Linked DNA regions of Sus scrofa. The protein of the gene in region 2 interacts with the protein of the main gene of each other region in a pairwise test. Links are inferred from orthologs where the notes say so. Each region holds a gene or a part of one and is shown on either strand. Other genes may lie near its edges.

Evidence for each region.
Region 1: the proteins of LZTS2 (region 2) and TRIM29 interact in binary tests that used the Homo sapiens proteins (3 or more experiments, as listed by UniProt). The two-hybrid records come from large-scale screens. The link is inferred for Sus scrofa from reciprocal best matches to the Homo sapiens genes LZTS2 and TRIM29.

What each region holds. Positions count from the first base shown.
Region 1 is NC_010451.4:47,281,196-47,285,573, reverse strand, and holds the start of TRIM29 (tripartite motif-containing protein 29), read left to right. Parts: upstream 1-1,469; 5' UTR 1,470-1,668; coding exon 1,669-2,469; intron 2,470-4,378.
Region 2 is NC_010456.5:112,076,824-112,081,052, forward strand, and holds the start of LZTS2 (leucine zipper putative tumor suppressor 2), read left to right. Parts: upstream 1-1,387; 5' UTR 1,388-1,827; intron 1,828-3,004; exon of another isoform or gene 3,005-4,147; intron 4,148-4,229. UniProt on the Homo sapiens protein: Negative regulator of katanin-mediated microtubule severing and release from the centrosome. Required for central spindle formation and the completion of cytokinesis.

The DNA.
Region 1 (4,378 bases), on a different chromosome or scaffold from region 2:
AGAGGGAATCCCCACCATGAAGTAGCATTCTCCGCCCCCAACACTGCCCCACACCTCCTCTTAAAATTCTGGCTGCTTTGTGATCCAAGCTTGTCTCTGTTCTTGTTCCTGCGTTATTGCAAAGGACTAGCTCTTCAGCCAGGTGAGCCAAAGGGGCGGGGGCTCTCGGAACTTGACCTGGATTCCAGGGGAAGGAAGGGAAACCCACTCCCAGACATGCAGCCCAGAACATGTCTCTCTGCCTGCCCCCTACCCCCAGCCACACCCACCTCCTGCTCTGCCACATCCAGCCCAGCCTGGGAGAGGCACAGACCCTTACCCAGTGTGTGTGTGCTGGGGGTGTTGGATTCCCAGGACCATGGCAGTGGGTCGCAGCCCAGAAGGGACCAGGTGGCCTATCCTGGCAGGAGTGGAGGGTCCCCAGTGTTCCTGGAGGTGGTCAGAGAGAGGAAGAGTCTAGAGTCTTTAGTTTTTCTCTCTTTTTTTCCCTGAGGTCTGGGATTGTATGATAGTCATATTCTGTCACTTCTGAGAGTATCTGAGAGAGGGTGTTGCCTATGGCCTGGAAGAGAGAGGGTGGACAGGTATTGTTCTGAGTCACATAGCAAGTTGACCGTGGAGGCAGATGAGAATGAAGTGTTTGGGCCCCGAGGACACAGCCACCTGGCTGGCACTGCTTGCATTCCTGCCCCTCACTACTGTTTCTCTGGCCTTTGTATCCAAGCAGGTTCTGACCTGCTCTGATCGCATTAACAGAAAATCTGTATGCGTCTTGTTAAGGCTTCTGGGACAGGCATGGCCTTTCAAAGCCATCTTCCATTGAGATATTCAGGTGGCTCTGTTGACACCTGCGCTGAAAAAGGGAACCTGGGCTCAAATATCAGCTCCACCTCTTGACTTAGGCCAGCGAGTTATTTCCTTAGAGCTCCCGTGTTCTCATCTATTAAGTGGGGACAATTGAAATAGTTGTTGTAAGGATTACCAGAGATCATTAGGTCATGCACCTAACACAGGGCCTGGCAGTTGGCAGGAGGAGTTCAGTGACGAGTAGCCACTTCGCTCCAAACCCTAAAATCCAAATCAAACTGAACCCATCACTCCCTTTAGGGTGAGAAGCCACTCCGCTCTCTCAGGGCAGGGCAATCTTCCTCTGAAACCCAGGCCCGCTGATTACAAGGCTATTTGGTTTGTGTGACCCAGTTAATAACCCTCTGTCCCGTCGGCCTCTGCGGACACCTCACCTCTGCCCCAGGGGCCGCTGGGCTCAGCGAAGCCTGCCCACGGGTGAGGACAGAGGCTCCCACTTTCCTGATGAGAAGAAAGTGCGTCAGAAGGAAGCAGCCCAACTGGTTGCCGAGCCGTGGAAAACAATTAAACTGGGGGAGAAAAAAACCCTTTAAAAAAAATCAGGTTAGGTATGAATGTGCAGGGTGTGGCCCCCCTGTATAATTAGCCGCTCTGCTGGCTCCGGGAGCCACGGCCGCCTCTCCCGGCCCCGTTGTGTCAGCCCCAGCGGCCCCTCCTCTCCGCTCCTCCTCCTCCCCGCTCCCTGAAGGTGTGTCTCGGGCTCTGCGGCTGCCTGTCCCACTCCCCGCCGAGACGCCCGCCGGAGAGGTCACCCACCCACACCTCCAGGGAGCCCGACCCAGACCAGCCAGGTGACCCGCGATGGAAGCCGCAGACGCCGCCAGGAGCAACGGGGCCAGCCCGGAAGCCAGGGATGCCCGCAGCCCGCTGGGCCCTAACGGCAGCCTGGAGAACGTGACCAAGGCCGAAGGCAAAGAGGCCAAGACCACCAACGGGCACGCGGGGGAGGCGGCCGAGAGCAAGAGCCTGGGCGGCGCCCTGAAGCCGGGCGAGGGAAAGAGCTCCCTGTTCTCCGGGAACGAGTGGCGGCGGCCCATCATCCAGTTTGTCGAGTCCGTGGATGACAAGACCTCCAGCTACTTCAGCATGGACTCTGCGGACAGCAAGAGGTCCCCCTACGCCGGGCTCCAGCTGGGGGCCAAGAAACCGCCTGTCACCTTCGCCGAGAAGGGGGAGCCGCGCAGGTCCATCTTCTCGGAGCCCCGCAAGCCCACCGTGTCCATCATGGAGCCCGGGGAGGTCCGGCGGAACAGCTACCCTCGGGCCGACTCGGGCATCCTCCTGCGCTCCAAGTCGGGCTCCGAGGAGGTCCTGTGCGACTCGTGCATCGGCAACAAGCAGAAGGCCGTCAAGTCCTGCCTGGTGTGCCAGGCCTCCTTCTGCGAGCTGCACCTCAAGCCCCACCTGGAGGGCGCCGCCTTCCGCGACCACCAGCTGCTCGAGCCCATCCGGGACTTCGAGGCCCGCAAGTGCCCCCTGCACGGCAAGACCATGGAGCTCTTCTGCCAGACGGACCAGACCTGCATCTGCTACCTCTGCATGTTCCAGGAGCACAAGAATCACAGCACTGTGACTGTGGAAGAGGCCAAGGCTGAGAAGGAGGTAAGAGCCGGGCCCCTCCCCCACCACCCTCGGGGCCTCTCCTCGCTCGCTGAGTCCTCCCACCTCATTTTCCCACTGGGGGTGCTGGAGTCTGGGGCTCATCTCTCTGCTGTCCCTGGGTCTTTCAGAAAACACTTCTGTCCCCTCTACTCCGCCAGGCTGGGAGTCAGGGAGGGCTCCCCAGTCCTCTAAGGCCCCAGGAGACTGGTGTATTCTAGATGAGCACATAGGGGCTCAGCAAAGATAGGGGACTCGGCTAAGGTCACAGGATAAATTCAAGTCAGGTCAAGGATTGGCACTCAGTCCTGGGCTGGGTGGGCCTGGCTGGATGTATCTTTTTCTTCTTCTTCTTCCTCTTCCTCTTCCTTCTCTTCTTCTTCTTCTTCTGAGGAGTGGGTTATGGGTGAGGAGGAGGGAATTTGGGGATGGCTTCAATGTCCTATTTTCTGTCTTCAGAGTTGGCCTTTGCAGGACAGCAGCTTCTTCTTGTTCCGTCTGATCCTCCATCCTGTCCCTTGACCCCCCTGCTGGCCTCCTTTATCCCCCCTCAGCCAGGCCCTGTGTGCTTTGTGTGTGTGGTTGTATGTGGTGGGCGTGCCTCTGCCTGTGGATGGACGCTCTTGGTGAGGGTTGGAGTGGGGGGGAGGGGTCTGTGTGTTTTATATGCACGTGGGTGTGTATATGCGTATGTGGATGTTTGCATAAGATTGTGTATGTAGCACGTCAGTGTGCTTGCATGCATCCTGTGTTCGTGATTCTGCCAGTAGTTCTGTGGTGAGGAGCGGAGGCGTGTAGAGGCTTGTGAGTGTGGTATACCTGGAGCGGGTGCGCCGGCTACAGGCTCAGCTGTGGCTGCTGCCCCTGGCCCTGCAGACTGGGGCCCTTTGCCCCCACTCCCCGGCAGCCACATAGCTCCCTGGCATGGGCAGCCTTTTGTTGGGGTGAACCTTCCCAGCGGTCAATGCAGGGGAATCGACTTTCTGCACCCTGCAGGCACCCCCTCTGTGCCCAGCCTTCCTGACCAAAAGTTTGTGGGTGACTGTCTCCCACCCACACTCCTGGGCAGGAAGGAGCTGTCAGAGATGAGAGAAAACTCAAAGATCCTTTTCCGAAGCCTCATTTGGCCCAGGAGCAAGGTGACCCCAGTTTCCCCTGCCTGGCTTCACGCTTCATACGGGAAGATGGAGATGGGGGCCTTACTTAGAAAATCAAAATAGAACAAGGACCAATCATCTTCATTCACCACAACCAAGAAGTTGCACAGCCCTGACTGGGCTGGGTTTTGGGAGACCTGGATTCCAGTCCTGGTTTTGCCTCTGATCATCTGTGCAGTGGTAGCCAGGTCCCTTCCCTTCCTTCAGGCTCAGTTTCCCTTCACGTGAAACTAGGGGATTGGACTCCATTGGAGATTTTCTTTCTTCCTTTCTCTTTTTGGCCATGGGGGATCCTTAACATGCTGAGCCACCAGGGAACTCCTAGAGGTTTTCAAATTACCCCATAGAGCCCTTGGGGAGCTCCATGGAGCTTAGGATTCTTGGGACTGTCATTAGCTTAGGATTCTTGGGAATGTCTTTAAGGTGTCAGGGATGAGAATGGGGGCAAAGTGATGCCAAAAAGACAGGGTCGGCAGGTTCCCACCTCACAGCAAACAGTACGTGCTCTTGTTCATCCGTTGTATACATGGGGTTTGGACTCCAATTTTATCTGAATCAAGGGTATCTCCAATTAAGAAAAGCCTGAATGCTCTAGAGGGTAGTCTTTGGCAGCTTTCTCTGGTGGTACCTGGAATGTGGAGTTCATGTTCTAGTTCTGGGCAGGACTCAAAGACAAGCTGTGTCTTGAGGGCTTATAATGTAGGTCAGGAGGCAGAGCTCAGACAAACCAGTCTGGGGCGCATCCGCCCGGTTCC
Region 2 (4,229 bases):
TTGCCTGCAGAAGTGGTGAGAATGCAAGCTGTTTTAAAGGGGCTGGGGAGAAACCTTTTGTAGAGGGGGTTGGGGGAGGTTTCCTGCTCCCTGGAAGCAGGGCTGCCTTATCAAGGTCTCCCTGTAACCTGAGAGGAGGCTCTGGACCCCTGTGGGATGGATGGTCTGGGGTCTCTGGTCTGTGGTGTGTGAGAACTGTGACTGCAGTTGTCTTCTGAAACAGACCCTGGAGCAAAGCCATTCCCTGGGGGGGAGGGGGGAGATCCTCCAGGGCCTCCCTTCTTGGGGGTCTCTCCCAGACTGGCTGGAGCCAGCTCTCCTAATCCCACAGTAATCATTCCCAGCCGCTGGCTGGTCTAGGCCTCATCCAGGGGCTACAACACTGAACATCAGCCATGCCTTCCAGATGCACCCCACCAGATCAATGCTACCTAGAAAGGTGTTGGTCTGGTCTCCCTAGAATGCCTGGTGTGTTCTCAGGAAATACTTTAGGAGTTTCCATTAGGGAACTTTTGCGAGGTGTCTGTGTGAACTGGCTATAGAGGAATAGATACACACTTGCCCGGCTTGCCCCACCCTCCTAGCAGACACCACCACACTGCACAAACCAGCTCGGGGGAGGGGAAGCTAATTCTCCCCCAGCCCCACCCCGTACACAAGCACATTCCATTCCACACCTGTCTTAAGCTCCTAGCATCAGAATTAGCCAGAAGTATGTTCCGGAGTAACTGCAGCCTAGAAAGTGGCAGGTAATCCCTAGTTCCTGGGTAAGGTCCCTGGGACTCCCTGTCCCTGTACTCAGCCAAAGTGGATTGAGGCAAATCACCTGGGCTAGAACCAGCATTCCATGTGCCCAGTTGGACATTTAGAACCTTCCTGAGAGCTGAGGAAGAGCCTGACAGAACAGGGTCCCTGGATCTGCAGCGCTGTCTGCTGTCTTCAGACTCATTGTCACACTTAGCTGTGTGGGGGCAGCTTTGGTTCTCCATCTTGCATTTGAGAAGGGACTAAACTCACAAGACTCCGGCTACCCAGGGCTCAGGCTGCAAATACAGCCCAGATACCTGTAGACAGCACAGTCTGCCCTCACAAAGGCCACTTTGGGTGCCATGGAGGGAGGGAGCCCTTGGTTCCTCCCTGCAGTACAGGTCAACTTCCTGTTTGTGCCTGTGGGTGGAACTTTTACGAGTCTAGGAGAAGCGTGGCCATACTCTGTGGGGGCCCAAACCGGCAGGCCGGCTCACCTGGGCCGACACCTACTCGGGGAGGGGGAGGTGCTGGTCCTCAAGGGCAGCCCCAACGCCGAGGTGTGTGTGTGTGAGGAAGGCGGGGTCTGTTTTGGTGAAACCCGAGCCTTCTTTGTCTGCTTCCCAGGGGTTTTCCCCATCTGGGGACTGGGCTGAGCATGGACCAGGATGGGCTCCCTAAAGCGCTGAGGAAGGTGGCTGTAAAGCCCTACAGCCGACTTGGTTAGGACAGCCAGCCAGCTTAGCTGTCACGTGCCACTGGCCCCTTCCCCGAGCTGAAAGACAAATGCTGTAAGGTGTGAAGTCAGAGGCCAGAGGAGCAGTCCTGGGCCACCATCGAGCCACATCTGGGCTGGGCACTGGGTCGGTTGTTGAGGGGGTGCTGCGCAGACCACTCCCCTGTCGGGGTCGGGGGCGCGGCCTCAGCCGCCCCGCCCCGCTCCTCCAGGCCCGGCCGGACGGGCGCTGGGAGTCCGCAGCCCGGAGCGGGCTTGGGAGCCGGCCGATCTGCGGCGAGGAGGTGCTGGCGCTGGAGCAGGAGCCGGGAGGGGAGCTGGAGCGGCGGCGCAGGTGGCCCTAGGTGAGTGCGTGGTGGGGCCGCGGAGGTGTCGGAACTCTAGCTCCTGCACAGCCCCGCGCCGGAGCGAACTTTACCGGTCTTGGAAGGTTGGGGGTTGGAGTGAGGAGGGGAGTCCCCAGTGCAGGAGGCACAAGCGAAGAGTGTGAACAGGGAACCTACACGGAACCTCACACTCACGGGTCCAAACACGCGTACACACAGACCCACGCGCGCACCTGAGACAGACGAACACACGTGCACCCTAAAGAGGACGCGCCCAGTGAGCTGTGCCTGCCGTCCCTGGAACAACGCCACTGGCCCGCGGGACCCCCAGCGGGCAAGGCGCGCTGCTGCCGCGTACTTGACAGGGGTGGGAGGAAAGACCCAGGGACCGCCGACGGGGGCGGGCCGGGTGGGACAACTCCAGAGGTTCCTGCTTTCCGGCAGCCCGCAGGTGAAGACTAAGACGTAAACAGGAGCCGAGCACGTGATCGTAGCGCAGACCTGTGGGCTGTGCTCCCCCCACCCGGGCCTCAGGGCGGGAACCGCCCGCCCCGGTGCAGGACGGGCTTGCAAGGTACCTGGCCGGGCTGTAGTCCATTCTCCACCTCCCCCGGAAGGAGAACACAACGCCCCCTGGAGTCGGGTTAGCGAAGGAGAACAGGAGGCTGTTGGTCTGGCCTGGGGTTACCTGGGCTCTTCGCCCTTCCTTCTCCCCAACATGGTGCCCCATCCCTGAAGATATTGGGGGCGTGGGGGCGATATTCTGGATGGCAGCGTATAGCAGCCAAGGGAGCAGCTACGGCAGCGCCTGTGGGTGCCCTTCCTACTACCACCCCTCCCTGCAGAGCTAGGAGCTCCTCCTTGCAATGTAGGAACAGAAAGCCCACGCATGCAAGAGTGGGAGTCCCCCTTCCCCAGAGAATGCAGGAGCGTGCACATCTCAACACCAGAGAGGGCCTGTCTCCCTCCCGTAGAAGGGAAGACAGCCCCCTCCCCCCAGGGCATGAAAGTGGGCATCGGCCCTCGGCCTCCTTCCTCACCCCACCCCCCACCCCTACACGCACGCTGAGCCCAGCTGCTGCCTGAGCTTCTGGGCTGGCTGCCAGAAAGGGGAGGCGGCTCCTAGTGCCCCAGGAGGCTGGGATCAGGGCAAGGCCAGAAGAGGGGGGGGGGGTCTCTACCGGAGTGGGACTCAGTCTGTTCTTGTGAGCAGAGGGTCTAGGGTGAGCCTGCGGGTGGCTGAGCTGTTTCCCTTTCCAGGGAAAAAGAAAGAAAAACAATCCTTTCCATAGAGCTAAAAATAGAGCTGAGAGCCTGCCAGGGCTGTGGCCTGGAAGGGGGGGAGATGCTCCTTCCTGGGGTAGAGGAGCTGTGGCAGGCCTTGGCCCTGGATGGGGCGGAGTTAGGGGCCTGGAGGCTGTCCTTGTACAGCCGTGTGGGCATCAGCTGACCTGACTGGGTCACAGAGACCCTACGGGAAAGTCTGTGTGATAAAATGTTTGTGAAATACGTTGTGTACATGTAAGAAGACGTTTTTTGACTGTGAATAAGACTGTCAGTGTGTGAAAAATGCTTAGGAGACTAAGTGTATTTAAGATTGTGACTGGGTGCGAAGGACTTCGAGCTGTGAAAGCCTGTGTACAACTAGGCATGTGAAACGAATGTCTCTGTGTGTTGGCCTGAAAGATTATGGGAAGAAGAGACATGGAACCTCGTGATGAAAAAGACTGTATGATTGTGGCTGTGTGAGACTGTGGGAAAGGTCGTGTGGGTGTTAAGACTGTTTTGTTTGCCGAGCTGAGAATATCCGTGACCCTGAGAAGACAGTGGGATGTTGTGTGCTACGCGGCTGTGTAGGTTTGGCCTGTAGGCTTGGATGGGCTCACCTCAGTGACTGTTGGGCCCAGGGGCTGCTTCTCTCGGATCAGTGGCCTCTCTCTTAGGAAATGACTCTGAGGGAAGGCTGGGGAGCACTGAGCCGCGCTGGGGAAAGGCCTAGGCTTTCTAGGGTAAGGTCCCCCAAGGTTGGCGGTGACCGAGTGTGTTCTCCGAATGGGCCGCCAGGTGGCGCCACCTCCACAAATCCAAGCGTGCCTCCTCCAACCGGCTGCGGGTGGGGCAGACACCCACCAAGCCTTGGCCCCCGACTTGTGCTGGGGCGCAGGGCCCCGAATCGGGGGCAACTGACCCTCCGCCGCCCCCTCTGGACTCCGAAGCTGGAGAGTGTGTCTGGGGGAAGAGGCATCGACGAGACAAGAGAAGGGGGAAGGGCGGCCGCCTCGGCGCCTGGCCCTTTGTGCTCGAACAATGACCAGCTGCCGCTGGCCCCGGGGCCCGGGTAGGGGTAGAGGGTGACCTGCCGCCGCCGCCGCCTAATCCTGAGCCGACCGAGACCCCAGACACTGGCCCTCGGAAGGAGG